Sus scrofa: one gene and its partners. The main gene of each other region encodes a partner of the protein of the gene in region 2 in a complex. Links are inferred from orthologs where the notes say so. Each region holds a gene or a part of one and is shown on either strand. Other genes may lie near its edges. The genes, in order: ZNRD1, TAF1A, TAF1D and TAF1B.

The links.
Region 1: TAF1A (region 2) and ZNRD1 share a complex: the UniProt entries of both Homo sapiens proteins name them as parts of the pol I pre-initiation complex. The link is inferred for Sus scrofa from reciprocal best matches to the Homo sapiens genes TAF1A and POLR1H.
Region 3: TAF1A (region 2) and TAF1D share a complex: the UniProt entries of both Homo sapiens proteins name them as parts of the transcription factor SL1/TIF-IB complex. The link is inferred for Sus scrofa from reciprocal best matches to the Homo sapiens genes TAF1A and TAF1D.
Region 4: TAF1A (region 2) and TAF1B share a complex: the UniProt entries of both Homo sapiens proteins name them as parts of the transcription factor SL1/TIF-IB complex. The link is inferred for Sus scrofa from reciprocal best matches to the Homo sapiens genes TAF1A and TAF1B.

What each region holds. Positions count from the first base shown.
Region 1 is NC_010449.5:22,623,913-22,631,536, reverse strand, and holds the start of ZNRD1 (DNA-directed RNA polymerase I subunit RPA12), read right to left. Parts: upstream 4,667-7,624; 5' UTR 4,534-4,666; intron 4,421-4,533; 5' UTR 4,401-4,420; coding exon 4,265-4,400; intron 4,041-4,264; coding exon 3,940-4,040; intron 3,603-3,939; coding exon 3,493-3,602; intron 224-3,492; coding exon 199-223; 3' UTR 1-198. UniProt on the Homo sapiens protein: Core component of RNA polymerase I (Pol I), a DNA-dependent RNA polymerase which synthesizes ribosomal RNA precursors using the four ribonucleoside triphosphates as substrates. Can mediate Pol I proofreading of the nascent RNA transcript.
Region 2 is NC_010452.4:11,351,127-11,358,092, forward strand, and holds part of TAF1A (TATA box-binding protein-associated factor RNA polymerase I subunit A), read right to left. Parts: intron 5,643-6,966; coding exon 5,529-5,642; intron 4,820-5,528; coding exon 4,621-4,819; intron 1,599-4,620; coding exon 1,468-1,598; intron 1,461-1,467; exon of another isoform or gene 1-1,460. UniProt on the Homo sapiens protein: Component of the transcription factor SL1/TIF-IB complex, which is involved in the assembly of the PIC (pre-initiation complex) during RNA polymerase I-dependent transcription.
Region 3 is NC_010451.4:26,163,327-26,171,059, reverse strand, and holds the start of TAF1D (TATA box-binding protein-associated factor RNA polymerase I subunit D), read left to right. Parts: upstream 1-3,777; 5' UTR 3,778-3,928; intron 3,929-5,685; 5' UTR 5,686-5,786; coding exon 5,787-5,845; intron 5,846-7,109; coding exon 7,110-7,509; intron 7,510-7,733. Other genes in the region: C9H11orf54 (ester hydrolase C11orf54 homolog), read right to left, coding at 495-549. UniProt on the Homo sapiens protein: Component of the transcription factor SL1/TIF-IB complex, which is involved in the assembly of the PIC (preinitiation complex) during RNA polymerase I-dependent transcription.
Region 4 is NC_010445.4:126,528,919-126,535,884, reverse strand, and holds part of TAF1B (TATA box-binding protein-associated factor RNA polymerase I subunit B), read left to right. Parts: intron 1-962; coding exon 963-1,033; intron 1,034-1,569; coding exon 1,570-1,792; intron 1,793-6,966. UniProt on the Homo sapiens protein: Component of RNA polymerase I core factor complex that acts as a GTF2B/TFIIB-like factor and plays a key role in multiple steps during transcription initiation such as pre-initiation complex (PIC) assembly and postpolymerase recruitment events in polymerase I (Pol I) transcription.

The DNA of each region.
Region 1 (7,624 bases), on a different chromosome or scaffold from region 2:
ATATTATTTTAATAAAGAAACAACTGGGGTAGGAGCACTCTGGGACAACAGTAATCCCCATGTGATGATCTGCTTTTCCTCTGGGAGAAAAACACTGCAGTCAGGAAATGGACAGAGGATCTAAGAATCCAACATTCTTCACTTTCCAAGGAAGAGGAGAAGGAGGGACTGTTAAGTCGTTCAAAAAAAAAAAAAAAGTCAAGAGTCTTCTTTCTCCTGGAACCTATAGAGAACGAAAGAACTTGTTATATTTGGCCAAAGGAAGAGAGTCTAGCAGTGTAAGGTGAGACAGTTAAATAATCAAAAAAGGATTCATTTATGACAGTGGAAGACTAGCTCTTCTAAACAACCCTCCACAAATTCAAGACAACTAAAAATGCTGGGATTGGAGTTCCTGTCATTGCTCAGCAGTTACAAATCGGACTAGTATCCATAAGGACGCAGGTTTGATCCCTGGCCTCACTCAGTGGGTTCAGGATCCAGTGTTGCCATGAGCTGTGGTATAAGTCACAGATGTGGCTCAGATCTGGCATTGCTGTGGCTGTGGTGTAAGTCAGAAGCTGCAGCTCTGATTTTCCCCCTAGCCTGGGAACTTCAATATGCCATGGGTGCACCCCCCCCAAAAAAAAGACAAATAAATTTTAAGAAATTAGCTTGCAAATTATGAAGGATGCCAAGATCTCTTAGAAAACAAAAAAGCACTCGCCATAAAAGAAAAGAAAAAAAAAAAAAAGATAAACCAGACCTCATAAAAATTAAAAACTTATGCTCATTAAAAAAAAGTTAGAGAGTTCCCGTCGTGGCGTAGTGGTTAACGACTCCACTAGGAACCATGAGGTTGCCGGTTTGATCCCTGGCCTTGCTCAGTGGGTTAGGAATCCGGCGTTGCCGTGAAATGTGGTGTAGGTTGCAGACGCGCTCGGATCCCGCATTGCTGTGGCTCTGGCATGGGCCGGTGGTTGCAGCTCCGATTGGACCCCTAGCCTGGGAATCTCCATATGCCGCAGGAGCGGCCCAAGAAAAAAATACGCAGAAAAAATAATACCATTAAAAAAAAGTTAGAAAATAAATAGGTCAGACTGGGGAAAAAATGCTCTCAAAAGATATAACCATAAATATTTTAATCCATTAATGAGATGTCAAGAAAGTAAAGGCAATCTTCACATTGGGTGAAGTGATGTAAAACCAGAAACCTAGAAGGTAAGTTAAAACTGAAGCCCTGGGTGTTCCCTGATGGCTCAGTGGGTTAAGAATCCCCTCTTGCTGAAGCTGTGACCAGGGTCACAACTGCGCTATGGGTTCAACCCCTGGCCCAGGAACTTCATATGCTGCTGGCACAGACGAAAAAAGGAAACCATCCTCCTCCCAGCTCCCAAGCCCTTGCTGCTTTGACAGCCACATGGAAGAACCAGAGATGAACCTGCAATATTGATAGGAGATACTCTGTCTGCATAAGTCTGAGCTCCCCAAAGGGCTTACCCTTCTGTATAAAAGTGAGCAAGAAAAAAAAAAAAAATTTTCTCTGCTGAAGAGAAATCTGTCTCACTAGGTAGAGGGAGGAAAAAAAAGTCCCCTGAGAATTTCTAACCATAACCTGGCCTTTATACTGGATTTGCAGCCAAAATCCATGTTACCTAGGTGCTCCCAAAGCTGAGAATTAACTTAGTGATTCCGCCTTGGTACTGCCTCAAGGCAGCTAAACAGTAAACGCAAATGCTGAATATACAGCATTCACCACAAGCCTCAAAGAATTCCCATAGTTCAAACTTTTAAAAATCTGAGCTTATAGTAAAAAAAGCACAAAACAAAAGCAGCACCATGAGGGAGTCAGCAGAAATAACAGATGGCAGCATCAGACCCACAAAAACAGTGGGTTTGAGAATTAACAGACATAGAACATAAATATCATGTTTAATGTTTACATGTAATATGTTTTATGAATAAAAAGAACCACTTAAAATATGATTAAGGAATTGGGAATTATTAAAAATAACTAAGATGATTTGAAAAATAATCAGGATTTCCCTTGTGGTGCAGTGGGTTAAAGTCCAGCACTGTCACTGCAGGGGCTAGGGTTTGATCCCTGGCCCAGGAATATCCACATGTTGCCGGCATGGCCACAAAAAAATCAAACAGAACTAAAAAATCTATCCAGAAACAGCATAAAGAGAAAAGAGATGGAAAATATGGGAGACAGGGTGAGAGAAATGGAGGATAGAAGATAAGGCCTAATAAAGAGCTAATCAGTTAGAACTCTAAGAATATGAGAACTGAGCATATGAGGGAAATATTCAGTGTGATAACAGCTGATAATTTTCCAAGGTTGATGGGGGAAAAAAGGTCAACCCTCACTGTTGGAAGGCCCAACACATCCCAAACAGGATAAATAAAAGAAAGCCACATCTTGATAGATTGTAGTGAAATTGAAGGACACCAAAGACAAAGAGGAATTCTTAAAACTATGTTTTAAAGAACCCATGTTCTGGGAGTTCTCGTCGTGGTGCAGTGGTTAACGAATCCGACTAGAAACCATGAGGTTGTGGGTTCGATCCCTGGCTGCTCGGTGGGTTAAGGATCTGGCATTGCTGTGAGCTGTGGTGTAGGTTGCAGTCTTGGCTCGGATCCCACATTGCTGTGGCTGTGGCGTCGGCCAGCGGCTGCAGCTCTGATTAGACCCTAGCCTGAGAACCTCCATATGCCTCGGGAAGCGGCCCTAGAAAAGGCAAAAAGACAAAAAAAAATAAAGAAATAAAAATAAAGAACCCATGTTTTTTAAATCATCCATGACTGACTCTCACCAAAGTAAAACTACCTTGAGGGCAGTGGAGGAGTCCAACATAACACACTGATCACAAACCAATACTCATTTCCTTTTAACTATTGTAAAAGGTTTAATTCACTGGGTATAAAAAGATAGGAAAAGAGTAATTATTTAAAATTTAAAAAGACCACAGAACTTCCCATCGTGGCACAGCAGCACAAGCAAATCCGACTAGGAACCATGTGGTTCAATCCCTGGCCTCACTCAGTGGGTTAAGGCTCTGGCATTGTTGTGAGCTGCGGTGTAAGTTGTGGACGCAGCTGGGATCCGGTGTTGCTGTGATCTGGCGTTGCTGTTGCTGTGGTGAGGCCAGAGGCTACAGCTCGGATGTGACCCCTAGCCTGGGAATCTCCATATGCCACGGGGTGCAGCCCTAAGAAGGAAGGAAGGAAGGAAGGAGGGAGGGAAGGAAGGAAGGAAAGAAGGAAGGAAGGAAGAAAGAAAGAAAGAGAGAGAGAGAGAGAAAGAAAGAAAGAAAGGAAGGAAGAAAGAAAGAAAGGATGGAAGGAAGGAAGAAAACGATCACAAACCTATTACTTGAACTGTACAGAAATGAAGGATGCGACCAGTCCAAAAAGTACAAAAATTAAACCACTGGATTTAAATTAAATCACGGGATTTTGGCAGCAAAGAGACCCAGAAGGGGCAGAATGGAGGGAAAGGATACGCACTTGCAGTTGGTACAGGTGTAGAAGACAGTCTGCCCTTCATCGGCTGAGCGCATCTGTCTGGTGTGGTATGCCATTCCCTCATGACCACAACGAGGACAGCGCCTGTCAACCTGGGAAGCAACTGGTAGGTTAATAATTCCCACTACTTCTCACAGACATCAAGCTACCACACTCCTCAGATACTGCTGGTTTTTGTTTTGCTGCACCTGCAGTACGTGTAAGTTTCCAGGCCGAGGATCGAACCCGTGCCACAGAAGCGACCTAAACCGCTGTAGTGACAATGCCGGCCAGATCCTTAACACCCGGCTGCACCACAAGAAAACTCTCCCCAGTCACTACTGTTTTAAAGACTCTTCTTCCCTGTTGTGTACAAAACTCTCCAGATCTGAGCCCTCCGTTTCGTTCCCACCCTCTTTACAGGGCCAGTCCTCGACGTGATTCACTTACCACGGGTCCCTGGAACTCAGGTCCTTCCTCCATCGACATAGGCATGGCTGTCCCCACTTTCTGGAACACAACTGAGGTCTTCACAACCTTCCCCTCAAAGTCTGCGCGGGCAGTAAGAATTGGTTGTGGAGACAGCGGAGGGGGCTGACACCACACTAATCCCTCTCTGTTAGGCCAGGAAGCTATATTCTACCCATCAGGTTTCGTGCCGACCAAAAGTATAAGTGCCTGATCCTGCGCTTTCGGGTCCCCGTCTTTAATCCAATCGATCTTGAGATCCCCATGGGCCCTCCTCCGCCCCAGCCGCGGCGTAGCAGCACCTCACCCCGCACGTTGATGGAGAAGCCACAGCGAGTACAAATGACCGCATCCTGAGTCCCGGGCAGAGGCAGGACCGAGCCGCAATCCGGACAGAAATCCAAGTCCGACTGAAAGCTAGAGGATGTGCGGGCGAGGTCCATGACAGACGGGTGGTCGAGGGCTGGGAAGGGGATGAGGAGTTTATTAAGAGAGTAGCCCCTTCCCCAGAGAGGTCATGCCTATTCTGTCCCTGGACGTAAGCATGCAGAACCCGAGATTTCTTCCTACGCATACCTTGTGCCTCTGTGACTAAGGAGCCCAAACTTCCGGAATCCCTATCCCGCGTCGGGTACAACTACGCTGGGGGTCTTTCCTGGGGCAGGCGAGAGGAGCAAGTCAACTTCACGGGCTAGAGCGCCGGCTCCGCGCGGGCAACCGAGCAGCGAGCGCGTGGCGGGCTAGAGAGTCCACGCGTCCCGGCTCTCGATTGGCTGTGACGTCATAATTAATTGCAACTGTGATCCCGAGAGCCTGGAGAGGGAGAGGAGCGGTTCTGAAGGAAGATTGTGGCGCCCCCTTCAGCCTGGTTCTGTTACGTTGGATACGAAAATAGGTGACGAAGCTGCGCCTGCCTCAGGTTATTTTTTCCCTTCAGGACTCAGTCCTGGGATGTTTATTTTATTGGTCTCGAATTTTACCAGGACCCAGTCGCGGGGAGCGTTTCTCCTGAGAAGTCGGACCAACCTTATAGAGTACTAATTTATTTATTTGGACTGGAGAACTGCAAACTCCAGCGGTTCCTGAATCTGCACTTCACTGTGGCGGTTGGACAGTGGTAGAAAACAAAGCGAAATATTCTGGGAGTAATTCTAGCATTCTTTGGGCCTTGCGACCCAAGCAAGGGCTCTCTGCAGGACCCGGTATGGCTCATGTGCTTTGGTGGCTGTTGCCTTGTCTATAGTGTAGATCACAGTTGCAGCTTTGATTCAGACCCTAGCTTGGGAACTTCCATATACCACAGGTGCAGCCTTAAAAAGAAAAAAGAGAGAGATCATGGTATTTGTAGATTAAAAATCATAGTTCCCACTCTTTATATGTTTAAATTTCAGCATCAAAATGTTTTTTGTATTTTGAGTTCATGTTGTGGCACAGCAGAAACAAATCCGACTAGAAACGATGAGGTTGTGGGTTCGATCTCTGGCCTCGCTCAGTGGGTTAACGATCTGGCTTTGCTGTTGCTTGAGCTATGTTTCGTTTTGTTCTTTTGTTTTTCCTTTTGTTTGTTTGTTTGTTTGTTTGTTTTGTTTTGTTTTTTGTTTTTGCTTTTTTTTGCTTTTTAGGGCTGCACTTACAGGATATGAAGGTTCCCAGGCTAGGGGTTGAATCAGAGCTACAGCTGCCCACCTATGGCACAGCCACAGCAACATAGGATCTGAGCCATGTCTGTGACCTACACCACAGCTCAGGGCAAGGCCAGATCCTTAACCCACTAATCGAGGCCAGGGATCAAACCCGCAACCTCATGGTTCTTAGTTGGATTTGTTTCTGCTGCACCACAACAGGAACTCCCATGACTGATTTTCAAATAAATTGTAGAAGTTATATTTTTTACTTCTATTTTTTACTTTGTATTCATCGGAAGGCAAAAATCACTGATACAGGAGTTCCACTCTATGGCAAAATGGGATGGGCAGCGTCTTGGGAACACTGGGACAAATGTTCAATCCCTGGCCTGGCACCATGGATTAAGGACCCAGCTTTGCCTCAGCTGGGGCTTAGGTTGCAACTGTGGCTCAGATCTGTTCTCGGCCCAGGAACTCCATATGCTGCGGGGTGCCAAAAAACAAAAACCCAAAACCTCACTGATACATAGAGTAGACTGGGCAGACTTAATAGTCTGGAGCTTGACCTATGGAGGATAGACAACTGCCATTTATTGAGACCTTACTGTATTTTAAGCATTGTGCCAGGCTCTTTAATCTAATTGTCACTTATTCTTTATAACCCCAAGAGGTACATTTTTTCAACGAGGAAACTGTTTAGAGAGAGATTGTTACTTGCCCTGAATCACACACCTGGGAATTAAAATTCAAGCATAGGCCTGTCAGGCTCCAAAGCCCATGCTCTAAACCATAACTTGTATAAATAAAGGCGTAGAGATGAAATGCCAGGCATCCTCAGTGGCTTAGCTACGACCTCACAGTAGACCAGAGATGACACACAAAACCTGATAGTCCTCACTTGTGTTGCCATCAGCCTGTCCTATAAATAAACCCAGAGTAACCACAAATTTTCATCCCAAGGAGGTCAACAGGGAATGGCCTCATAATGGATTTAGGGTAAAGGATGATTGGCAGAGTAAAGCAGACAAGCAGACTGGTGGTTGATCAAATAAGAACAGAATTTCACCATCAAATAGCAGAATATCAGAACGAAAGATTATAGGGTAGAGATGCTGTATGTTGTGATAGAGGCAGAGAGGGCCCGGCTCCAGAAACTGCACAAAGAGAATGAACTGATAATACCAAAGCCTAGAATTATCTCAGAAGACAACAGAAGCTATGGGACTGAGCAATATGTCAGAGATGGGCTTGGGCATTGCTTCACCAAGAAGCCTGTCTCTTCCTTCTCCCAATCCCTGGTGCAAGATTCAGAATGGTTCGCCTTGAATCCACAGGAGAAGTATGCTGTTAGTTTATATGAAAGGATTACAGTTGGCCCTCTGTATATGAGGATTCCCCATCCACAGATTCAACCAACTGTGGGTGGAAGATTAAAAAAAAAAAAATCTAAGAAGATTAAAAAAAAAAATTCAAAACTTGAATTTGCCCTGCACTGGCAACTATTTGCATAGTATTTATGTTGTACTTACTACTTACATTGTATTTGCAACTATTTACAAAATTTTTCCATTGTAGTAGGTATTACAAGTAAAGGAGAGATAATTTAAGGTATACAAGAGGATGTGCTCAGGGTATCTGAAAATACTATGTCATCTTATATGACACTAACACATGGATTTTGATATCTGGGGGGGAGGAGGGTGTCCTTGAACCAAGGGACATTGAGGGTTTCAAAGATACTGAGGGATGACTGTATATGCTGATATTTATAGGTTCTTTTTTTTTTTTTTTTTTTTTTTTACTTTTTAGGGTTGCATCCATGGCCTATGGTGGTTCCCAGGCTATGGGTCCAATTGGAGTTACAGCTGCCAGCCTATGCCACAGCCATAGTAATGCCAGATCCGAGCCAAATCTGTGACTACACCACAGCTCATAGCAACACCAGATCCTTTAACCCACTGAGCAAGGCCAGGGATCGAACTCACAACCTCATGGTTCCTAGTTGGATTCGTTTCTCCTGCGCCACAACGGGAACTCCTATA
Region 2 (6,966 bases):
ACTAGTCGGGTTCTTAATCCGCTGAGCCACAACGGGAATTCCAAAAAGCAAATTATTATTATTATTATTTTAAAAAGCAAGCCCAGCTGGTTTCATTGAAGAAAACTCATGCATGATTTACTTTTCGCCAGTCTGTTCTGGCATGCTGCCAATGATACCACAATCACCTGGATCAGTGATGGCCAGTGCTGTGCCCAGTTCGATATTCTTGCCACTGCAGTGATGGACACCAGTTGTGGCCAACATGGCGTGACATTCGATTTCAGATTTCCTCGAGGCTGGGCAGCTGCTGGCGAGAATGGCCAGTTCCGTTTTGCCCTGTCTGGTCATTCGGAGTTCTGCTTGTACCCCAGCACGTACTTGGCACTTTTCATCACGAGCTGGAGCCGAGCGTTGATTGACTCCAGCAACTTTTTCATCTTCTTTGTGGCCACCATCTTCCTGCCTTAGGTGCGTGACGCCCCCAACCACAAGCAGCTGCCAAGACGGCCGGGCAGCAAGAAAGCCAAAAAGCAAATTATTTTGATGAACTACTCCCACCGCCCAGGGCCAGCGCGCTCTGTCCTTTCACAGTGACTCTGAGATGGCAGGACATCCTTAAGAGCCTCTGAAAGCCACTCTTCGTCTCATATTTGTGACGTAGTTCCAGAGTTTTAGCTCCTTCCCAGCAATACCCCACCAAATCATAAGAGAACTTTCTGCTTTTCTCAGAAGCTCAAGAAGAACACAGAAGTGACACTTACAACTAGAAGGCTAATAACTTTATAAACAGAGTCAGCATCAGCCACAGGCCCTGAATCCTCTCAGACCTCATTTTAGGGTTCAACCAACCACAGATGGAAAAGATTCAGAAAAAAAAAAAATTCAGAAACTTTCAAAATGCAAAATTTGAATGCGCTGTACACAGGCAACTATTTACATAGCATTTACAATTTATTACATGTTTTATAAGTACTCTTAGAGGTGATTTAAAGTCAACAGGAGGATGTGCATAGGTTATATGCAAACACTGCACACATAAAGACTGAGCATCCACGGCTACTGAGAGACAACTGTATTTGGCCACGACATGCTATCCAGGGGTGAAAAAAATACCGTCACATGTACAGCATGTTGGTAAGAGAAAATATAAGGTACTTTGGTAAAATAAAAATTATGCAGACAAAAAAAAAGTGGCATCATATTCCCTTTTTTTAAACCATTTTCTCCATTAGTTGCCTTCTAATCAATAACGATAAAGCTTATAACAGAATGAAACTGGTGAAACTATGAGAAGTCTACTTACCTCCACGTAACTCTTCACAAATGCGTCCTGAACTCCAGCAATTTGAATCAAAGCACAAAGATTTATAGACATTTATGAAAAGTCCACTTACCTCCACATAACTCTTCACAAATGCGTCCCAAACTCCAGCAATTTGAATCAAAGCACAAAGATTTATAGACATTTATGAAAAGTCCACTTACCTCTACGTAACTCTTCACAAACGGGTCCCAAACTCCAGGAGTCTGAATCAACGCACACAGGTTTACAGACGTCTTCCAGCTGTGGTTGAGCAGCGTCTGGGACTCCGCGTTGAAAGCATAATCTTCCTTATCTGTGCAGAGAGAAACAAACTATTAAAGTCATTCAGCACTGAGGACTTTAGCTGAATCAGTAACTGACAAGCGACCCACAAGAAAAGCTCAGACTCTGATGGCCTCACGGGTGAATGCTAATAAACACTTAAAATACAGCCCTAATTCTTCGCAAACTCAATGACCCAAAAAAGAGAAAAAAACACTTCTCAGCTTATTTTGTGAGACCAATATTACCCTGATACCAACATCAAAGACAACACAAGAAAACAAAAGACTAGTATCTCTTACAAACATAGATTTTTAAAAACCCAACAAAACACTAGCAAACTGAACCTAGCAACAAATAAACAGGATTTTATACCATGCCGAGTGAGGCCTATTCCAGGTTGTTTAACACCCGAGTCAAGTACTACAATATTCCAAATCAATAGAATAATGACAAAAACCTCACAACCATCTCAACTTTTGCAGAAAATGCATTTGACAAAATGTAATAACGCTTCGTGATAAAAATACTCAACAAGTAGGAATAGAAGAAACTTTTCAATCTGATGAAAGGTTTCTTGTGAAAAAAACCCATATTGAATGTCACAATTAACAGGGAAAGGCTTCATGCAAAAGACCGTCCTTTCTTTGCCACTTTCATTCACCACTGTAATGGAGGTTCTAGCCAGGGCAACTCGGCAAGAAAATAATATAAACAATGTCCAATTGGAAAGGAAGAAATCAAGCTACAAGATGAATGAAGAAAGATACAGTATCAGAGTCAGAAAAAGAAAGACAAACACCGTGTGATAGCACTTATTTGTGGAATTTAAAATATGACACAAATGGGGAGTTCCTGTCATGGCTCAGCCTAATTAGTATCCATGAGGACATGGGTTCGATCTCTGGCCAGTGGGTTAAGGATCCAGCATTGCCAGGAGCTATGGTGTAGGTCACAGGCATGCCTCAGATCTGGTGTGCCTGTGGCTGTGGTGTAGGCCGGCAGCTTGTAGCTCCAATTCGACCCCTAGCCTGAGAACCTCCATATGCTGTGCGTGTGGCCCAAAAAAGCAAAAAATAAAAAAATGAAATACAATATGACACAAATGAACCAAAACACAAACAGACTCATCAACATAGAGAACAGACTTGTGACTGCCGACGGGGAGGAGTTGGGAGAGTCTGGGGTTAGCAAATGCCAACGATTATATATAAAACAGATCAACAACAAGGTCCTAGTGTAGAGCACAGGGAGCTATATTCAATAGTCTGAGATAAATCATAATGGAAAAGAATATAGAAAAGAATGTGTATATTTATATATTATAATTGAACCACTTTACTATACAGCAGAAATTAACACACTGTAAATCAACTATATTTCAATTTAAAAGCAAAACAAATATATACATACACATATATGGAAATGAAGTGATAATGGGAAAGTAGGTATGAAACATCAAAAATAAATCTTATCCCACTCTTGGGCACATATCCAGATAAAACTCTACTTAAAAGAGACACATGCACCTGCATGTTCATTGCAGCACCATTCACAATAGCCAGGACATGGAAACAACCCAAACGTCCATCAATAGATGATTGGATTAAGAAGATGTGGTATATATACACAATGGAATACTACTCAGCCACGAAAAAGGATGACATAATGCCATTTGCAGCAACATGGATGGAACTAGAGACTCTCATACTGAGTGAAGTAAGTCAGAAAGAAAGACAAATACCATATGATATCACTTATATCTGGAATCTAATATACGGCACAAAGGAACCTTTCCACAGAAAAGAAAATCATGGTCTTGGAGAATACACTCGTGGCTGCCTGATGGGAGAGGGAGGGAGTGGGAGGGATCGGGAGCTTGGGGTTTATCAGATTCGACTTAGAATAGATTTATAAGGAGAGCCTGCTGAGTAGCATTGAGACCTATGTCTAGATACTCATATTGCAACAGAACAAAGAGGGGGAAAAATGTATACATGTAAGAGTAACTTGATCCCCATGCTGTACAGAGGGAAAAATAAATAAATAAATAAATAAATAATAAAAATAAAAAATAAATCTTGAAAGGAAAAAAGGCAGATTCCTAAGTATAAGTTAGGTGTGGATTTACTGTGGAAAGGGGTTCCCAGACACCCAACTGTAGTCAAACCCAACCAGCAGCAGCCACGGCAACAAGGAAAAATCCTAAGCTAACTCTTAGCACATGTTCATGGTCACACACACCCGGACAAAACAATGATTCAAAGGGATCCATGCACCCCTATGTTCACTGCAGCACTATTCACAACAGCCAAAACTTGGAAACAATCTAAATGTCCATCAACAGATGAATGGATTAAGAAGATGTGGTACATATACACAGTGGAATACTACTCAGCTATAAAAAAGGACAAAATAATGCCATTTGCAGCCACATGGATGTAACTAGAGATTCTTACACTGTGAAGTCAGTCAGAAAGACAAATACCATATGGTATCACTTATATCTGGCACAAATGAACCTATCTACAGGACAGAAAACAAACTCACAGACACAGAGAACAGACTGGTGTTTGCTGAGGGGGAGAGGGAGAGGGATGGATGGGGAGTTTGGGGCTGGGAAATGCACAGGAGGGATAAACAACAACGAGGTCCTGCTGGACAGCACGAGGCGCTCTACCCAGTGTCCTGGGACAGAGCACGACTGAAGGAGTACTGAAGAAAAAGAACGCATGTGCGTGCATAATGAAGTCACTTTGCTGTACAAAAGAAACGAGCACAACACTGTAAATCCACTATATTTTAATAAAAAGTAATAAAATGGTCATGAACTTAATCTGTGAATCATCTGATTCATGTCTGAATAGTTTTTTTGAAATACCAGAAAGATTATAAAGGGGGGTCAAGAATTTTAGATCACAGAAATGTCTGTTCTCTGCACACCCTGGATAAAGCCAGGCTGCGGGGCAGGGGAGAGAGACTGCTCCTTAAGACGGCCTCCCTCCCAGGTTCAGCCCTATCACCGAGTGAAAAGTTCACTCATATGCACTCACCAAGCTGAGACAGCTCCATCTTCTTTTTAGACCACGTGTAATACTGCAAAAGCCCTTTATAGGCCTGAATAAGGTTAATTAACACTTCCTGGGAAGATGACTTTTCACCGTATCGCCACGTCTCTGCCTGGCTGAGATTTCTGTTGGCGTCCTCAAGCATGCCATGATGCAGAAGGTACAATGCATGTTGTAAGGAGATCTGCAACGGTTGAGAAGCCCACCATCTCAGCTCACAGCCATTACACAACCAGGGTCCAAAACTCAGTAAACATACGATATACGCTGAGCTATGTAAGACCTTGAGAGGACACACACAATGGAGTAACACTGCCCCCATTATCAAAAATTTCAATCTAGCAAAAAGACACATGAAAAGATGATTATGTAAATGTGAGCCAAAGTACATAAAAACACACACAGCAGGCAGTGTGAAAGGAACAGGGCTCTGAAGACAGAGTTCTGGTCAAACACTACTTTAAAGCTAAATAAGCCTGAGGAAATTACTCTCCCCTAGTGTGTCTCATGTTCATAGGGAATGATAACTATTAACCCTTTCAAAGGGCATTATGGGGAATTCAATGAGATGGCATCGGCTCACAAGCTAAGACCTCACTTAGCCCACAGCAGGTAATCAATACATCCTCTTTTATCCATGCTACATAAATGCAGCGAAAACACCTGAACAAGGGCTGTGGGAGAAGGGCACTGGTTCAGAGGGAAAGTCAATCCTTGATCGGAGCGTCACACCCTGGGGGAGGGCAATATAAAAATTCCAGTTTCAGCTTCTCCTAGTGATCCAACTGTCTCAACCTTCTATGCTTTTTACGCTGTTACTGTCTCAGCACTCAGACCAGCACCTTCCGCAAGTGAACACTGCAGGTGCAAATCCACCAAGCCTCCTTTCTCACCTTCAAGTAATTCATGACGCCAATGTTTTTCATCCGGTCAGCAAAGGTATTGAACGTCTCCACACTGCTATTAGGATGATAATAAAGAATTTCACTTCCAAGCCTCCAAATAATCTGTCAAAACAGAAATTACCAACAAAAATGTAAAATCCTTGCCTTCGCCAATATCTAAGAAAGCTATGTTTTTCTGATTATAACATTAAAAAACAAACTATGATTTCTTTCCCTAGATACCACTACTGTCAATGTTTTACTGTACTTCACCCAGTAAAACCAACATATCTTAACCAAAAAAAAAAAAAAAATCTTGTGTTGATTAAATTATCAGGTAACTATAACAGTGTCATTTTTAAGTTAGTGGTCTAAAGAAGGTAGGAGGTTAAGCTACATATTGAAAGTAACATTTTTAATTAGTATTGGAGGAAGACTAGTAAATTCAGAAAGTTCAGGTTCAATTAACATTGACTTCCTCACTGCTCTGGCCCCATCGTTAGCATCCACCACATGCGAGCAAGTGGATGGTTCTTAAGAATCCTCCAAGGTCAGCGACTGTTGACTATAGTTAGTCTATACTTGGAACTCCAATTCAAAATCTTTCATCAGCTCTGAACACATTTTAATTAAAATATTTTCTGCCCAGAGGACCAGAACTCTGGCTGAGAATTTGGAGCTCTTCTTTTGCATGGGAGCAAATCTCTCTTTTACCCCAATTTAAAGTACCTCAATAAAAATAAATGATCTATGTATGCATGATCACATTGAAACAATATTCTATTACAAACTCATTGACTATGAAACACTTAAATTTTTTTTTTTTTTTTGTCTTTTTGCCATTTCTTGGGCCGCTTCCTTAGCATATGGAGGTTCCCAGGCTAGGGGTTGAATTGGAGCTGTAGCCACCAGCCTACCCCACAGCCACAGCAACACAAGATCTGAGCTGTGTCTGCAACCTACACCATAGCTCACAGCAACACCGGATCCTTAACCCACTGAGCAAGGCCAGGGACTGAACCCGCAACCTCATGGTTCTTAGTTGGATTTGTTAACCACTGAGCCATGACAGGAACTCCCGAAACACTTGTTTTAAAAAGCAGCCTAATGTGTGAAAATTTGCCAGGAAATGCATTTAAGATGTTCCAAGTTCATTGTACTTTGCCAGCCTTACCCTCCTGTGTACACTGTACCCTCCTGTGCATACAGAGTGGAAACCTGTTATCAGCCATATAGCACACTCAGCTGACAAAAAGGTTCCTGCAGCTTTCTTCAACTGCTATGGTTCAGTTTGCTGACAACCTCCATCCATTTCTATGTGACAGAGCTACAGTAGCTCACGCTAAACAGCCCCTGTCTTGGGAACCTGAAAACCTCAACTCCAAAAACACCTTTGTACTACAGGTGCAGTGACTATGCAAGCAAGGTGTTAGGCGATGCTATTATC
Region 3 (7,733 bases), on a different chromosome or scaffold from region 2:
TCTTGGGAACTGCCTTAAATTCTTGTTCAAACGAGGTGAAATAACTAAAGAGACCTAGACAGAGAAATCTAAGCAAGTTCACTGGCAGTCTGTTACATCAGAAGGGAAAAGTAGCATATTGGGAACATGATTAATACACCACAGTAGGTTATATATTTAAAGACTATTGCAACTGATAAAAAGTTAAAGCAAAACTGTGCAAGTCTTTGGGCACCATACCTACTTAAATCTTGAATTACCAAATTCGTTTTCATTCTGTGAAGTTGGTATCTCATCAAGAATCTTTCAGTGGTGAATTTAGGGTTTTGTTTTTTTTTTTTTTTTTTTGAGGGGCAGAATTTTGGACTCTCATTAATTAGAGTACAGAATAGATACTAAAAAAAGGAAAATGAGTTCCGTATTGAAAGTGCTGTTGTATAAATCTTAGAATGTTTGTATTTAAAATTTTTTTCCTTTGAATAATTTAGAAAGCTCAGAGTTAGTATTGTATTTACCTCCAACAAGTTCCTCTAGACTTGGCACATGAAAAGAATACTCAGCACAAGCCATCTTCTTTCTTCCTTAGGTGCGAGGATATACAAAGTAAAGCAGTTGTTGGCTAATTATCACAAGAGTTCACAGTGCACCAAGCATCAACAGCTGCTGCTCTGGAAATCAAAGAATTCAGTTATATAAAGCGGGCAAAAGGGCATTTAGGTGTCTGCCTCATAGAAAGGCAACCACAGCTTCTAGTGTTTAATATTTCAAGGGAGAAATGCCTTTACCACTGAGCCACGATGGAAATGCCCTCAAAAATATTTTTGAATTGAAATAGCTATAATTGTTCAGGAATGAGCCATTTTAACTTTTTCTTTTGAAATAATTGCAGATGGACAGTAAATACATACAAATAATTCCTCTATATTCTTCATTCATATTTTCCAAATGTTAACAATTTATATTTCCTTTATCAGAAACCAGGAAGTACTAATTAAGAACATGTCAAAATCTGCTCAGTAAATACCATGTTTATTTAAAATGAGGATAATAAAAGCACTCTAGACATTTCTACTTAAAGTAGGAATAATAAAGGCTCAAGTTTAAATTAAATACAGTCCTAATTTTACACCCTTTACAAGCTTTCAAAGAATGTCAGGATTTTATTTTCTTTCCTCATCAAAATAGAAATGAATTCCAATCCTGGGAGGCTACAATCTGAATAACTGGTTTAGAAATGCAAGCTCACAACCCAGAAAGCACCCAGCCACAGAAGACAGAGATGTAGTGTGTGTATAAGTGTGTTTCTGTGTGAGTGGGAGGTAGGAGGAGGAAGTTGGAGTTGGAGTGATGAAAGAAAGGGGTTAGAAAAGTCTTAATATAAACCCAGAGTGGCTCCGGAAGGACAGCTTTGGGCCACATGGAGGCAAACAATATTTTGTAGATTCCGTAGCTGGGACTCAGTGGTCTAGAAGCAGGGTCTAGAGAAGGGAAGAAAGAAAATAGGAGGCAGTTGGAAAAACGAAGCTGCAGAGACAATGCCTATGGGGCAGACCAACAATGACAACCAAACTGAGAACTATTTATTAACTGTATTCAATAAACCAGACACTACGTTAGACACTTTACACTCTCTCAAGACCTCTCACAACAAGGTATTATCCTTCTCATTTTACAAGAGGAAATAGGCCAGAGAGAATATATTATTTACTTCAGATCACTCAGCTATTAAGTGGCAGAAACAGAATTCAAAACCACCTCTAGTCCGGTGTAAAGTCAGAACCAACACATTATGCCATATCATGAACTGATAAAGGAAAGACACATTGCAGCTCACCATGAGGGAGAATTGTACAGAAGGATCCTATAGCACTCAGTATAACTGTCATCATCTGTTTGCTTTGTTTCCTTCCCTTAGACTACGATTTCTTTGAAGATAGGACTGGATACCAGCTCAGCCTTAATTTTTTTTATTGAGCATTTACAATATTCCACACGCAGCAGGTTCTAGGACAGGGCTGGCTTCATGCATGTGCAACTCCTATAGTCACACAGGACCATGTGCTCAGAGTAGCACTTGGTTTATGCTCTGTTGTCACCATCTTTCAATTCCTAACTTTACATTTGAACCCTTTAAGATGGAAAGGACCGTGGAGTATGTGCAATGCTTCTGCAGATGACTCAAACATTCTGATGTCTGTATTTAAAGCTAGCATTGGACAATATAAAGAGTGGTAAAACTCATGCTATTGATTCAAATGTTTAATTTTTCTTTACCTAGAATGACAATAAATAGCAAATTAATGCTATTAATTAAAACACCATGACAAGTCAAAAGAGATGCTACAGAAGAAAGGGGACAGCTTGTACTTCAGTAACTTTAACGGCATTTTCCCCCAGATTTTTGAACAAGACCCTGCATTTTCTTTCTTTCTTAAAATTTTATGGAGTTCCTGTTGTGGTGCAGTGGAAATGAACCCGACTAGTATCCATGAGGACTCAGGTTTTGATCCCTGGCCTCACTCAGTGGGTTGGGGATCCAGCAGATGTGGCTTGGATCCCATGTTGCTGCAGCTGTGGTGTAGGCTGGCAGCTGTAGCTCTGATTGGATCCCTAGCTTGGGAACTTACATATGCTGCACCTGCAGCCCTAAAAAACATAAATAAAATAGAATAAAATTTTATTGGGGTATATGTGATTTACCATGTTTATTAGCTTCAGGTTTACAGCAAAGTGAATCAGTTATGCATATAAAATACATGCATTTTCATTTTGTACTGAGCTTCACAAACTGCATATGCAGGCCTGCCTAGGAATATAGCAGTGACTAAGACATGTGATACCTGTCCTGGAGCTGACAGTACTTCATAATGCCTAGAAAACCAGACTTTCTGCGCCTGGAATTTAGAACAACATTTAGAGAAAAATTGAGTAAAGAAACCTGATTACCTTCCAGGTCTGTCCTATCCCGAGATGACACTAACCACAAATTAACACGAGACAGCTTTCCTGGTTTTATTATATGATACAAGAGGTCTGAAAGTAGACAAATCAGGACAGCTCATTCCTTTTTTGTAACTACTTCGGGGGAAAAAATTGCCACCAAAACTAAACTAGTTTAACTTCTACCTTAACACTCATTTACCGCTCAGGGAACTAAGAGGGCTAAAAAGAAAAAAAAAAAAGGCCCCCGCTGGCATCTCTTGCGATGTGTTAACCACCTCCTGGGAGGCTGACCCTTAGTTCCAAAAGAAAGACTGAGTTAACAAAACAAGTCCGAAGGTGGAGAGGGAACTGAGTGCGTAACTGGATAACAATGGCTTCTAGTACAAAGGTTACACATTTCGATTCTCAGTCACAGCATGATCCTCTCACAATTTTACACAGAAGAGATTTTTGAAGGCAAAAGTAGACACACACACAAACACACACACCCGGAATCAGACTTTGGAAAGTCGGAGGACAGCTCAGCAAAGGGAGACCACTGGAGTCAAAGCAGGAGAAGTGGCTCTTCCTCGCAGTTCACATTCATTCCGTTCCCCTGCCCCCACAATTTCTTTTTCATAGTTTGCCCAAACGTTCTTGACTATTCCATTTACCTTACCGGTTCAGGACGCGTACACCAGAAGCCTGGCCTGGCCTCAGTCAAGTCCGCCTCCCCTGGGTTAAAAAGCTCAGGTCCCGCCCACTCTAAATCGCCCCGCCCCTCGCGGCAGCCAATATGGAGCGCCGCGTCTGGTTTTCTCCTATCTCTCTGTTATTTCCTGCAGTCAAATTGTTATCGCGAGACTTCGGGGCCACTATTAGCTGGGACGCGGGACTAGCCCAGCCTTTTCTTCCGCGCGTTTGTGGAGGTTGGGTGTTTTCTGGGCCTGCGCGCCCAACGCGGGTTTCTGAGGCCGGGGCTGCAACCGAGGACGCCAACGGAGACCCGTGCGCAGAGCGGGCACAGGTTGGTATAAGCCGTCCGCGGTCTGGACGGATAGGAAAGAGGACTTGGGCGCCGGGGCCTTGTGGGCGAAGGAGGGGGAGGGCCTGGCGCTTTTCACTTTTCCCGGGACGCCTGCGCGGCTCAGCGGGAGCGGAGGGCTCGCGGTGATTGTGGGCTCTGCTCTGGGCGGCAGGACTCACAGGTACAGGCTAAGCGCGTGGGCCGTTATCGGAGTTGTGGGTGTTGAAGTGCAAGTGTATTGAAGCGAGTGCACGTTTTCTCAATTAGTGGTGGTTAAGTGCGAGGTAACCGTTACCGACGCCATTTTCCTTGCACGAGGTTAGGCACTTCTGGAGACATTCGCCCCAAGGTCGCACTAAGTAAGAGTTGAAGGGATTTTGTTAAAGCTGCTAAAGAGCACTGCCTGGCTCCGTGGCCCCTTGTTGCAGAATCCCGGAACAGGAAGCGATAGGAATGCTTTCTAGTTCCCGAAAGTTTTTTTTTCTTATTTTTATCCCCACACCCGCAGCATATGGAAGTTCCCAGGCTAGAGGTTGAACCGGAGCTACAGCTGCCGGCCTACACTACAGCCATGCAGAATCCGATTTGGATCTGTGACCCAAGCAGCTTGCAGCAACGCGGGATCGTTGAGTGAGGCCAGGGATTGAACCCGCATCCTCACGGAGACAGCGTCCCGTCCTTAACCCACTGAGCCACAATAGAAACTCTTGAAAAACATTTTTGAGTTAAGCTTACTTAATTTTGATAGTGTGCTCTGTAATTATTTTAAACTTAATGTCAGGTATTCCATCATTGCCATTGGATCCAGTTTTTGTTGAATTTCTTTTTTAGGCTGTTTTCATGATTTATTTCTTAGGTTAACGCAGTTTTGAAAACTGCAATAAAACACTATGAAATTATCACACGAGTCCATGAGACATTGTGAATTTAAGATCTAGGTGATCTTATTGATTTCTTAGATTTCAAATACTGCTGCTGAAGGATTTCTTTCATCATTACTCATGTGTCATTACTAAGAATGTTAGACTAAGAACACCACAAAAAAATGAAGAATGATGACATCCTCATAAGGAAATGAAACAGAACAAAATAAGACATCTTTAATACTTTTCCCAAACTACTGTAAAATCTTCCAAGGAGATTTTTTTTTAAAGGAGACAAAGGGCACCATTTATTGTAGTCTGTACATTGAAAAGTGAGAATTCAGAACTTTGGGTTAACACCCATAGTAGCAAAGAAGTAATTTATCAAGGAAGGGGTTTCACAGTAACTTAAAATCTAGTGAGGGAAAGAGGCCATAAATGAAAATTGCAGACCTGAAGGTTAGGTTTAGGTAAGTCCAAATAATTTTTCTGGGTATACTGAGGCCAAAGGCTGCCTTTGTGGGACTTAATCTTTGTTATGCAAGAGATTTCTTGGTTCCCACCACTGTTGGCAAATGGCTTTTTGGCCATTAATTGAACATTACTATTTGTAACTACATGACTGTATGGCTAAGGGTAAAAATTACATTTTTACTGTTAGGGAAAAGAAGTTTGACACTCCTGTAGGAAATCTGGAATCTTGTTCTATAGGATGGATTAAGTAGGCACAACTGAAAGAACCCATGAATAAAATCTTTAGATGTTAGAATTAGACAGTTGTATATGAGAATATTAAAGGCCTTACATTCATTTTTGTCTTAATTTTCGTAATTGACTACATCAATATCTGCATTACTCTGATCCTAGCTGTTTTGTTGGCATTTATTTGTTCAGGGAAACTACATCACATCTACCAGATTTCATATGGTCAGAAGTCTGTTTAAAGCAAAGGACAAGTGACAATTTTGAGAGGAGCTTGAAGACTATATATCAAGATGGATTCTCACAATTGTACAACAGTTTCTGATTCAGCTTTGGAAATTGAGAATCAAAGGTAAGTGTTTTTCTAAAAAAATGTCTACATAAAAAATATGCACAACTGTGAGTTAAGTTTTATTTGGGGCAAAATGAGGATTTAAGTCTAGGAGGCAGCATCTCAAGTAACCCAGAGAGAACTCTTGCAGGGTGACAAGGGGAGGGTCCTGTAACGAAGGGCAGATAACCTCAAGTTAAGGAATTCAGCACATGTCTTTGTATGAGAAGATGCCAAGGTCTGGGTTCACTGAAATAACGTCTTTGATGTGCACCTCAGCTGTCTCTAGCCAGTATCCCCTGTTTTTCCATCCTGAGTTTCCTCAGGGCTCACTATATGGTGTGGCTGCTGGCTGGCAGGTGTTTCTTGCCTGTGTTCGCTCAGGGCTCACCAGCTCACCATCGGAGGTGGCTGAAATCACTGATGACTGACATCCTTTGCTTACTGATAGAGCAGGCAGTGTTTTTATTTCTCAGTTAACTACCACCAGGTTTTCCTGGGAACAGACTAGGTGATAATGTTTACTGTATTGGAATTGCTGTGATAGCATGCATCATTGTAGATAATGAATAGTTTGTAAGGTAATTTTTAAGAATTGGAAAAAAAGGAAAACCCAGTTTCCACAGACTTTCGCTTTAACTACTTTGGAATAGTGGGACGTGTTTGTAACCCAGGGAATCAAATCAGGAGTGTATTCTCTGGGCCAAATTGGTATTTTCCTGACTAAATCATTCTGTTGTGTAACAAGAGAATGGATATTCTGATATTTCACATTATTAAGGATGCTGGTTTATGTATGATGGAGATAACCAGTTACCTAATCCATTGATCTCACTGGGAAATCAAATCAGCATTTCTAGTATATTCACATCAGGTATCTACTAGGGCTACTCTTTTTACTTAGAGGAGACTTTGTCTTATTTAGTGGAGGCTCTAGCAGTCAACAAGGCTGCCTTTGGAACTTAGAAGATCATTTTTTGGTAAGTGCTTGGCATTATGCCACATGGCATGGGCCATTTGAGGTAGAGTGGTCAGAATTAAGTGGTTGGCTGCTACTGAGACCATTTTTTCATCTGGAGTATGTTTTCCTGCTTTGATTTGTAAAAATACTCATAATAAGCATTGGTAATATATGAGTGCAATTCCCCCCCGCCCTTTTGAGGGGGGGAGTTCCCCGGTGTTCCCTTATCTTAGCAGGTAAAGATCTGGTCCTTGGCACTGGAACTTTTGTGCATGCTGCAGGTACAACCCCAAAAAAACTTTTCCTTTTTTTTTTTTCCCCTAGTGACAGCTCTTCCTCTGGAAGCAGCTTATTTAAAACTCAGTGTGTTCCTAATCCACCTAATCCACCTAAACAGAGGCAAAGAAACCCTATTAGAAAATATATTTACTCACCTGTAAGTATTGATACAGAAGATTCATCTAGTGACTCATCTATAGAACCAAGACCATTGACTTTAAAAGCTATTTTTGAAAGATTCAAAAGAAAGAAACGTAAGAAGAAGAAGAAGAAGAAGAAATACAAGCCAACTGGAAGATCAAGGGGAAGACCAAAAGGAAGGAAAAACACTAGAGTCTCACAAATAAATAAGATAAAATTTAAAGACAAAGGGCCTGGTTTCCCATTTTTAGAAGCAGAAAATGGAAGAAAACCATTACCTTGGAGAAAAATTTTAACCTTTGAGGTGAGTTGTCATTTCATATATGCTGATAACATAGTTTAAAATGTCTGAAATGAGTTGTTTGGATAAACCTGGGACATAGAATCTGTAACTTTGATGATACTTTTCTATATTTGGCTGTACTGCCAATTAAGTTCACTTATGCTTCTGGGTGGAACCTTCACTGGTATGTTAGTTGAATATACTGAATGTGAAGTGCTTCAAGGCTGTTTTTTTGGATTTTTTTG
Region 4 (6,966 bases), on a different chromosome or scaffold from region 2:
ATTTGGGAAGGCTGGACGAGGCAGGCGTCCCGGTGGAAATAGACTTGGTGACATCCTGGAGGAAATATGAGGACTTGATAGTGGGCCTCTGTCTTGTGTAGCTTTTGCAGTTGGGGGAAGAAGTAAAGTAAATTTTTAAGGAAGGTTCTAGAGAGAGCGTTTCTCAGACCACCCACCTTCCCCATCTTCCGGGCAGGTGACCCCAAGGAGGCGATACGGCCTCCTTGACTGTGGCATGGTTGCCACCCGTACAGGGGTTTACTATAAATCCATAAGAGAATCTGTCTGTATTAGGTATTCGTGAGGAATTTGTAACAGTGGGTTTATCTAGGGAGTGGGGTTAGAATCTTTAGGGAACGTCTGTATTTTTAGAGATTTTTTTTTTGCCTTGGGTATATTGTCACTTTTATTATTTGGTAAAATACGTAACGGAAAGGTATTTGAACGAATCACAAACGGCAAGCCCTCTGAACAGTTGGCGTGTTGTGTGGTTCGTTCAAGTCCAGCTCACTCAGGGTTTTCGGGAAGGCCCCGCCTGTTAGGTGATTGCCCCTCGGCCGCCGAGAGGTGCCCGCTCCGGGGTGCTGACAGGTCGGCAGCATCTGCAGGCCGCCGCGCGGCCAGGGCCGGGGGCAGCGGTTATGTCTCAGGCGGCTTCACTTTGAGAGGACAGCAAGGGGATTTCACGGGGAGGGACACCGCTGCTGCGGTTTTATGTAACGAATGGCTTCTTGGGGATCGTGTGGCCTCTGGGAGGCTTTGGGGCGGAGCAGGGCCTTCTGTCGGCTGCGACTGCTGCCTCCTGCGGTGCTCCTTGCTTACCTCTGGGTCGTACCCTCTGTAGAGACCTGTGTCCTGCAGGAGGTCCTTCTACCCGAGTCTCAGGAGTTTCAGGGGTCGTCGTAAGCGTGTTGGGGTCATCTCTTCTCCGCCCTGCTCCAAGTGGTTTTCTGCGTTCACAGGTATCTATGGAAAAGTGAAAGGCCACTCTACCACTCAGCCATCGACAAACCAGTGGTCTATAAAAGAAGAGGTGAGTCGGACTTCCTCCCGTCGCCGCCGAGCAGCAGCACAGTGGCGGAAAAGCTGGGTGTCTTGACCTGAAGGGAGACACAGACGTGCTTCCCCACTGCGTTAACAAGGCGCCAAAGCGCACTCCCAAGGAACGCCACCTCCGAAAGAAATTTCAGTGTCTAGTTCAGGATCAGTGTCTCACTCCAAACGGAAGTTAAGTTCCCACAAAATCTGAAATGCTGTGTGTCTGTGACTTTCAGACCCTTCATTTGGAGAACTGCTTTTGGTTGTCGTTCTCATTCTTTTTAAGACTTGTGTTAAAATATAGATGGCATAAAATTTACTGTTTGAAACCTTTCCAAGTTGACTTTCGGGGCGCCCCTCGTCCAGTTCCCGTTTCCTCTCAGTGTTACCCTCTTGCCTTTCATTTGCTGTACATTTGTCAAAACTAAGACGCCAGCTCTGGTACCTTACTGTCAGGTAATCTGCAGTCTTTATTTGTGATTTGACATTAGTTTTTATTTCATTCCTTTTCTTTTTTTCCCTTCCTTCCAGAAATGGTGGTGAGTCTACAAAAACAATTTAGCACACTGATTGATTCCACGCCCAGTGTTGAAAAAAGAAGCCCTTCAAGTTTTCAGTTCAACTGGACAGCAGAGGACAGTGATAGAACCTGTTTCCATGAACACAGCCTCCAGGGGGTCCTGAAGCAGAAAGGCCAGTCACTGACAACCAAGAATTCCCTGTACTGGCTGAGTACCCAGAAATTCTGTAGAAGGTGTGTGTGATGCTCTTAGAAATCCCGGAGTAGGAGCGCCCATCGTGGCGCAGTGGTTAACGAATCCGACTAGGAACCATGAGGTTGCGGGTTCAGTCCCTGCCCTTGCTCAATGGGTTAACGATCTGGCGTTGCCGTGAGCTGGAGTGTGAGCTGGAGTGTAGGTCGCAGACGCGGCTCAGATCCCGAGTGGCTGTAGCTGTGGTGTAGGCCGGGGGCTACAGCTCCGATTGGACCCCTAGCCTGGTAACCTCCGTATGCCGCGGGAACGGCCCAAGAAATAGCAAAAAGACCAAAAAAAAAAAAAGCACGGGATGGGGGCACCCATCTAGCTCAGTGGAAACAAATCTGACTAGCATCCATGAGGCTATGATGGGTTCAAGCCTTGGCCTCGATCAGTGGGTTAAGGATCCTGCATTACCACGAGCTGTGGTGTAGGTCACAGACGCGGCTGGGATCCAGCATTGCTGTGGCTGTGGTGTAGGCCAGCAGCTGTAGCTCCGATTCGACCCCTAGCCTGGGAACCTCCATATGCCACGGGTGTGCCCTAAAAAAAAAAAAAAAGAAAAGAAAAAGAAAGAAATGACAGGATTTAAAAAAAAAGACGAAATCTTTCGTTTGGCGTGAAGTAGTATTCTTTGCTAATTAAAAAAAATAGGCTGGATATCTTCTAAAGGAGTCAGGCTGTAATGAGAGCCAGGTAGGTTGTTTGATGGGATTAGAAGATGGTGAGCTTATAATCAAAACCATCAGAATTACACACTGAGCCTCGTTTATGAGTGTTAGGGATGGAGGTGTTAACTGCCTTTGATTGTTGTGGTACTCATTTCACAGTATAGACACTATCAAATCATCCTGTTGTGGCGTTCCCTTGCAGCTCAGCAGCTTAAAATCTGGCGTTGTCACTGCAGTGGCTCAGGTCACTGCTGTGGCGTGGGTTCAATCCCTGGCCCAGAAACTTTCCCATGCTGCAGGTGCAGCCAAAATGATTTAAAAAAAAAAATCATCCTGTTATAGCCTTAAACTTACATAGCTTGTGTGTCAATGATACGTCAGCAAAGCAGGATGAAGTTTTAGATCATAAAGACATTTCTCATTGAGACCTTAGGTCTTTACACCGACCTCCTTACACATCGACGCAGGCATCGTCCCCAGGGCAGGTCCCCACAGTCGTGCAGGGGATGCGCTGGCGAATGCAGCTGCCCGCATCCCAGCCCTGCTGGTGGTGCGCAAGCTGTGCTCCAGCTCCCCAGCTCTGCTGCCCTGATTGGGAAGCGAGGGGCGATGCTGACCTGGCTCCTCTTCTCAAAACCCCTGGCGGCTCCCGTCTCATTTCAGAGTGAAGTCGGGAGACCCCCTCTGTTCTCTGACCTCCCCTGCCCCCCTCTTCTCTTGCTCACCACCCCTGTTCACACCAGCCTCCTGGCTCTTCCTGAACTTGCCTGACACACTCCATGGCGGGTCTGGGCACATGTCATACCTTCAGCCTGGAACGCTCTTCTGCTCTGTCTCTACATGGGCTCACTTGCAGGTTTTTGCTCAGATTTCACTTCTTCAGAGAGGCCTTTCTTAACCATCATGTCTGAAATATCACCAGCCGTCACCCTCACCCACGCCCACACACCCACACACACACCTCATCACTCTCTGTCCCCCTTGCTTGTTCTTTCTTTTTCCTTATAGCTCGCGTCACGAGGGAATGTGTTGTGTGATTATGTATTTATTCCGTGTATTCATCTGCCTTCCCACAGAACAGGGCTTGGCACATAGTAGGTGCTCACTACGGTTGGTTGGTTGGTTTTTGTCTTTTTAGGGCTGTCCCCGATGCACATGGAGGTTCCCAGGCAAGGGGTCAAATCAGAGCTGCAGCTGCCGGCCTACAGCACAGCCACAGCCACACAGGATCCAAGCTGCGTCTATGACCTGCACCACAGCTCCCGGCAACACTGGTTCCTTAACTCACCGAGCAAGGCCAGGGATCAAACCTGCGTCCTTATGGGTCCTAGTTGGGTTCGTTCACCACTGAGCCCAACAGAAACTCCTAAGTGTTTGTCGAGTGAATGAATGGAAGACAGAAGCTTCCTCGTATGGTTTTAGGAGAGTTAAACGAGTTGGGTGTGTCTGTCACACAGTAAATGCGCAGTAAATGATCACCGTGATTTAACAAAATGATGTTTATTAGAATTTAACTTCCGGAGTTGAATATCAATCGAAGATGAGTACAGTGTAGAAAACACAATAGAAGACAATGAAATGAAGTCATCCGCATTACAGTTTACTGCTTAAAAAAAGTTTAGCGGAGTCTGGAGTGGTTAAGGAGTGTCCCTGTCTTAACAGCAGCAGCGAAAGGCCAGAATCCCAACCCCCGGGTCAGCTCTGCATCTGAGGGCGATACAGTCCTTCGAGGGGTCAGTGCAGTGGCTTCTTCAAGATTTACGGTTTCATCAAGTGGAAGGGAAAAGCTATGATGCTGGCTGGCGGGCTCCGTCCCCATCCCCACCGCGCCCCATAGGACCGGGAAGTTGGGACCTGAGGCGCTGTTGCTCTTCTGCCTGCAGAGCTGGTTCTGGAGGAGTTGGGGTGGGGGCGACACCTTCATGCTTTTTACATGATCCAAAGTTTAGATGTTCTTCATGGGTTTAATACTGTAATAGAAGACGGTTAGTTATAAAGAGACATTGATGGAGTCAGAGGTGAAATTGTCGAGATGTTTTTCCCTGCGTGCATTTGACGGCGGAGCACGGCACCAGCGATGCCGTAACTTTGAGCACCCAAGCTGTCCGGTTACCTTTGCCTATTTATTTTTAATCTACTTATTTTTTATTTGGGCCACACCCGCAGCATGTGGAAGTTCCTGGGCCAGGGATCGAATCTGAGCTGCAGCTGGGCCAGATTCTTAACCCACTGCACCTACGGCACAGCTGCAGCAGGGCCAGATCCTTAACCCACTGCACCAGGCTGGGGATCAAACCTGCGCCTCAGCAGCAGCCTGAGTGGCTGCAGAGCTGTTGTCGGCTCCTTAACCCATTGTGCTACAGCGGGGACCGCCACCTTGTCTATTTAGACTACAGCCTAGAACCACAGGGTGAGCAAAAAAGGGTTTAGCCAATCTTAGTAAAAAGGTCACCAAGTCCATGACTAAAACTATACGCTTTTCTCAGGATACCCCTTAGCCCCTAACTCGGAGCCCGCACACACTGCCCAGAGGGGTGTGTGTGTGTGTGTGTATGTGTGTGTGTCTGTGTGTCTGAGCTGTCTGATTTCCAGTTTCCTCTTCAAGAGGAACTGAGTAGGAGAGAGACTGAGAGCTACTCTGCTGATAAGCGTCCTGACAGCAAATGTGGTGCTACTCCTTTGACAGACAGTGTAGGGACTGGCAGAGAAGCAGACCAAAGAATTCAGATGGCCCTTCAGAGACACGGGATCACTGCCCAGAACCAAGCAAGCCTGACCGAGTCCCAGTTCGAGGGTGGAGCATGGTCCCAAATTGTGTGCACTCGTGGGGTTTGTTCTTCTTACCACTATAAAAGTGGATAACTTGTCACCATGTAATATAAGCGCTTTAAAAGAACATGTTGAATGTGCTCTAAGATAACCAAATAATGTATAACTCAGTTTTTAAAGATTTCCACCCCAAATGGTTAAAACGAAAGGTTTTGGTGCTTAAGAGAGCAGATCTTCAGCTATGTGGAGAACCTTGTCACGCTGAAGGGCTCATTTTGAGGGTTCGGAAGAGACAGACACTGTACTGCAGAGTAACTGTGAGAACCCCGAAGCCTCGAGAACTGAGGGGGAGGCTGCATGAGCCTCCAGACCCGCCGGGCGGTTGATCCTTCTTGTCTGAGGTGGAGCTAACTTTCCTAATCAATGTAAATTATCGTATATTTGATTTTATCGCTTACAACTTTAGGATAATTTTCTGAGTTTATGATAAGGAATGTATACCCTAAAAGATACTATTATTGATTCAGCTTAGAAATGAAAAGTCCTTACGTTAGCAAATGCTTTGTATACCTTTTCTTATCTTTCTCTTGTAAAAGTAGAGCTTTCCCTAGAGTCCCTACGTAAGGGAAACGTCATTTTCCCCTCCTTGGATAATACTGTCTGAAAGAATCTCTCTTAATATAGCTAAAATTTAAAATTAGATAAGAAGGGAGTTCCTGTTGTGGCTCGGTGGTTAACAAACCCGACTAGCAACCATGAGGATGTGGGTTCGAGTCCTGGCCTCACTCAGTGGGTTAAGGATCCAGTGTTGCCGTGAGCTATGGTGTAGGTCACAGACGTGGCTCGGATCCCAGTGGCTGTGGCTGTGGTGTAGGCCGGCAGCTGCAGTTCCGATTGGACCCCTAGCCTGGGAACCTTCATATGCCATGGGTGCGGCCCTAAAAAGACAAAAGACAAAAGAGAAAATAAAATAAAGTGAAATTAGAGAAGAAGAAAAGCCAAGAGGCTCTTCTTTTTTTGTGAGAATCCCTATATATTTTGTTTCCATTAAAACAATCAGCACAGAAACAATTGAGGCTTTTACATCGCCTAGCAGTAAACATAGTAGGCCATAGCTTTTTTGGCATATTATTAAAGTAGCCTTAAGATTTTAAGTGGAAATTTTAAAAAATCACCTTTAAAGGCGTGTAGGGAAAGTGAATATTTTTGAGCCCTTGCCGTGTGCCAACCATTGGGGAAGTGCTTACTATATATTCTCATTCAGTCCTCTGCCATCCTGTGAGGAGATGTCGTTGTTTTTTCCTGTTTCACAGATGAAAGAACCAGGAGTGGTTCGTTATCCTTGGTCACCACAGAGCTCGGTGGTCCAAACAGAAAAATTCTCTCAGGAATTTAGGGCCGTGTGCGGTGTACAGTCCCAGTACCTGGATACGGTGAACCGGGTTTAAAACCCCTGTGTTGCGGGACGTCCCAAGTACCGTCCAAAGTAGCGAGCACAGCGCAGTGACCCCCGTAGCCATCGCCACCCCACTCCAGCAGCTGCCAGCGTGTCCAGCCCAGCTTCGCCCGCGTCCCGCTCGCTCCTTCCCCTGTACTCGCAGGCGGTGAGGGTGCGGGTCCCGCACGGCAGCCTCTCCTTCATCAGACGTAAAAGACTCGCGGTAGTTCCTTAACGTCAAGCGTCCGTCAAGTGTCTAGATTGTCCTGATTGTCGCGTCATTTTTTAAATA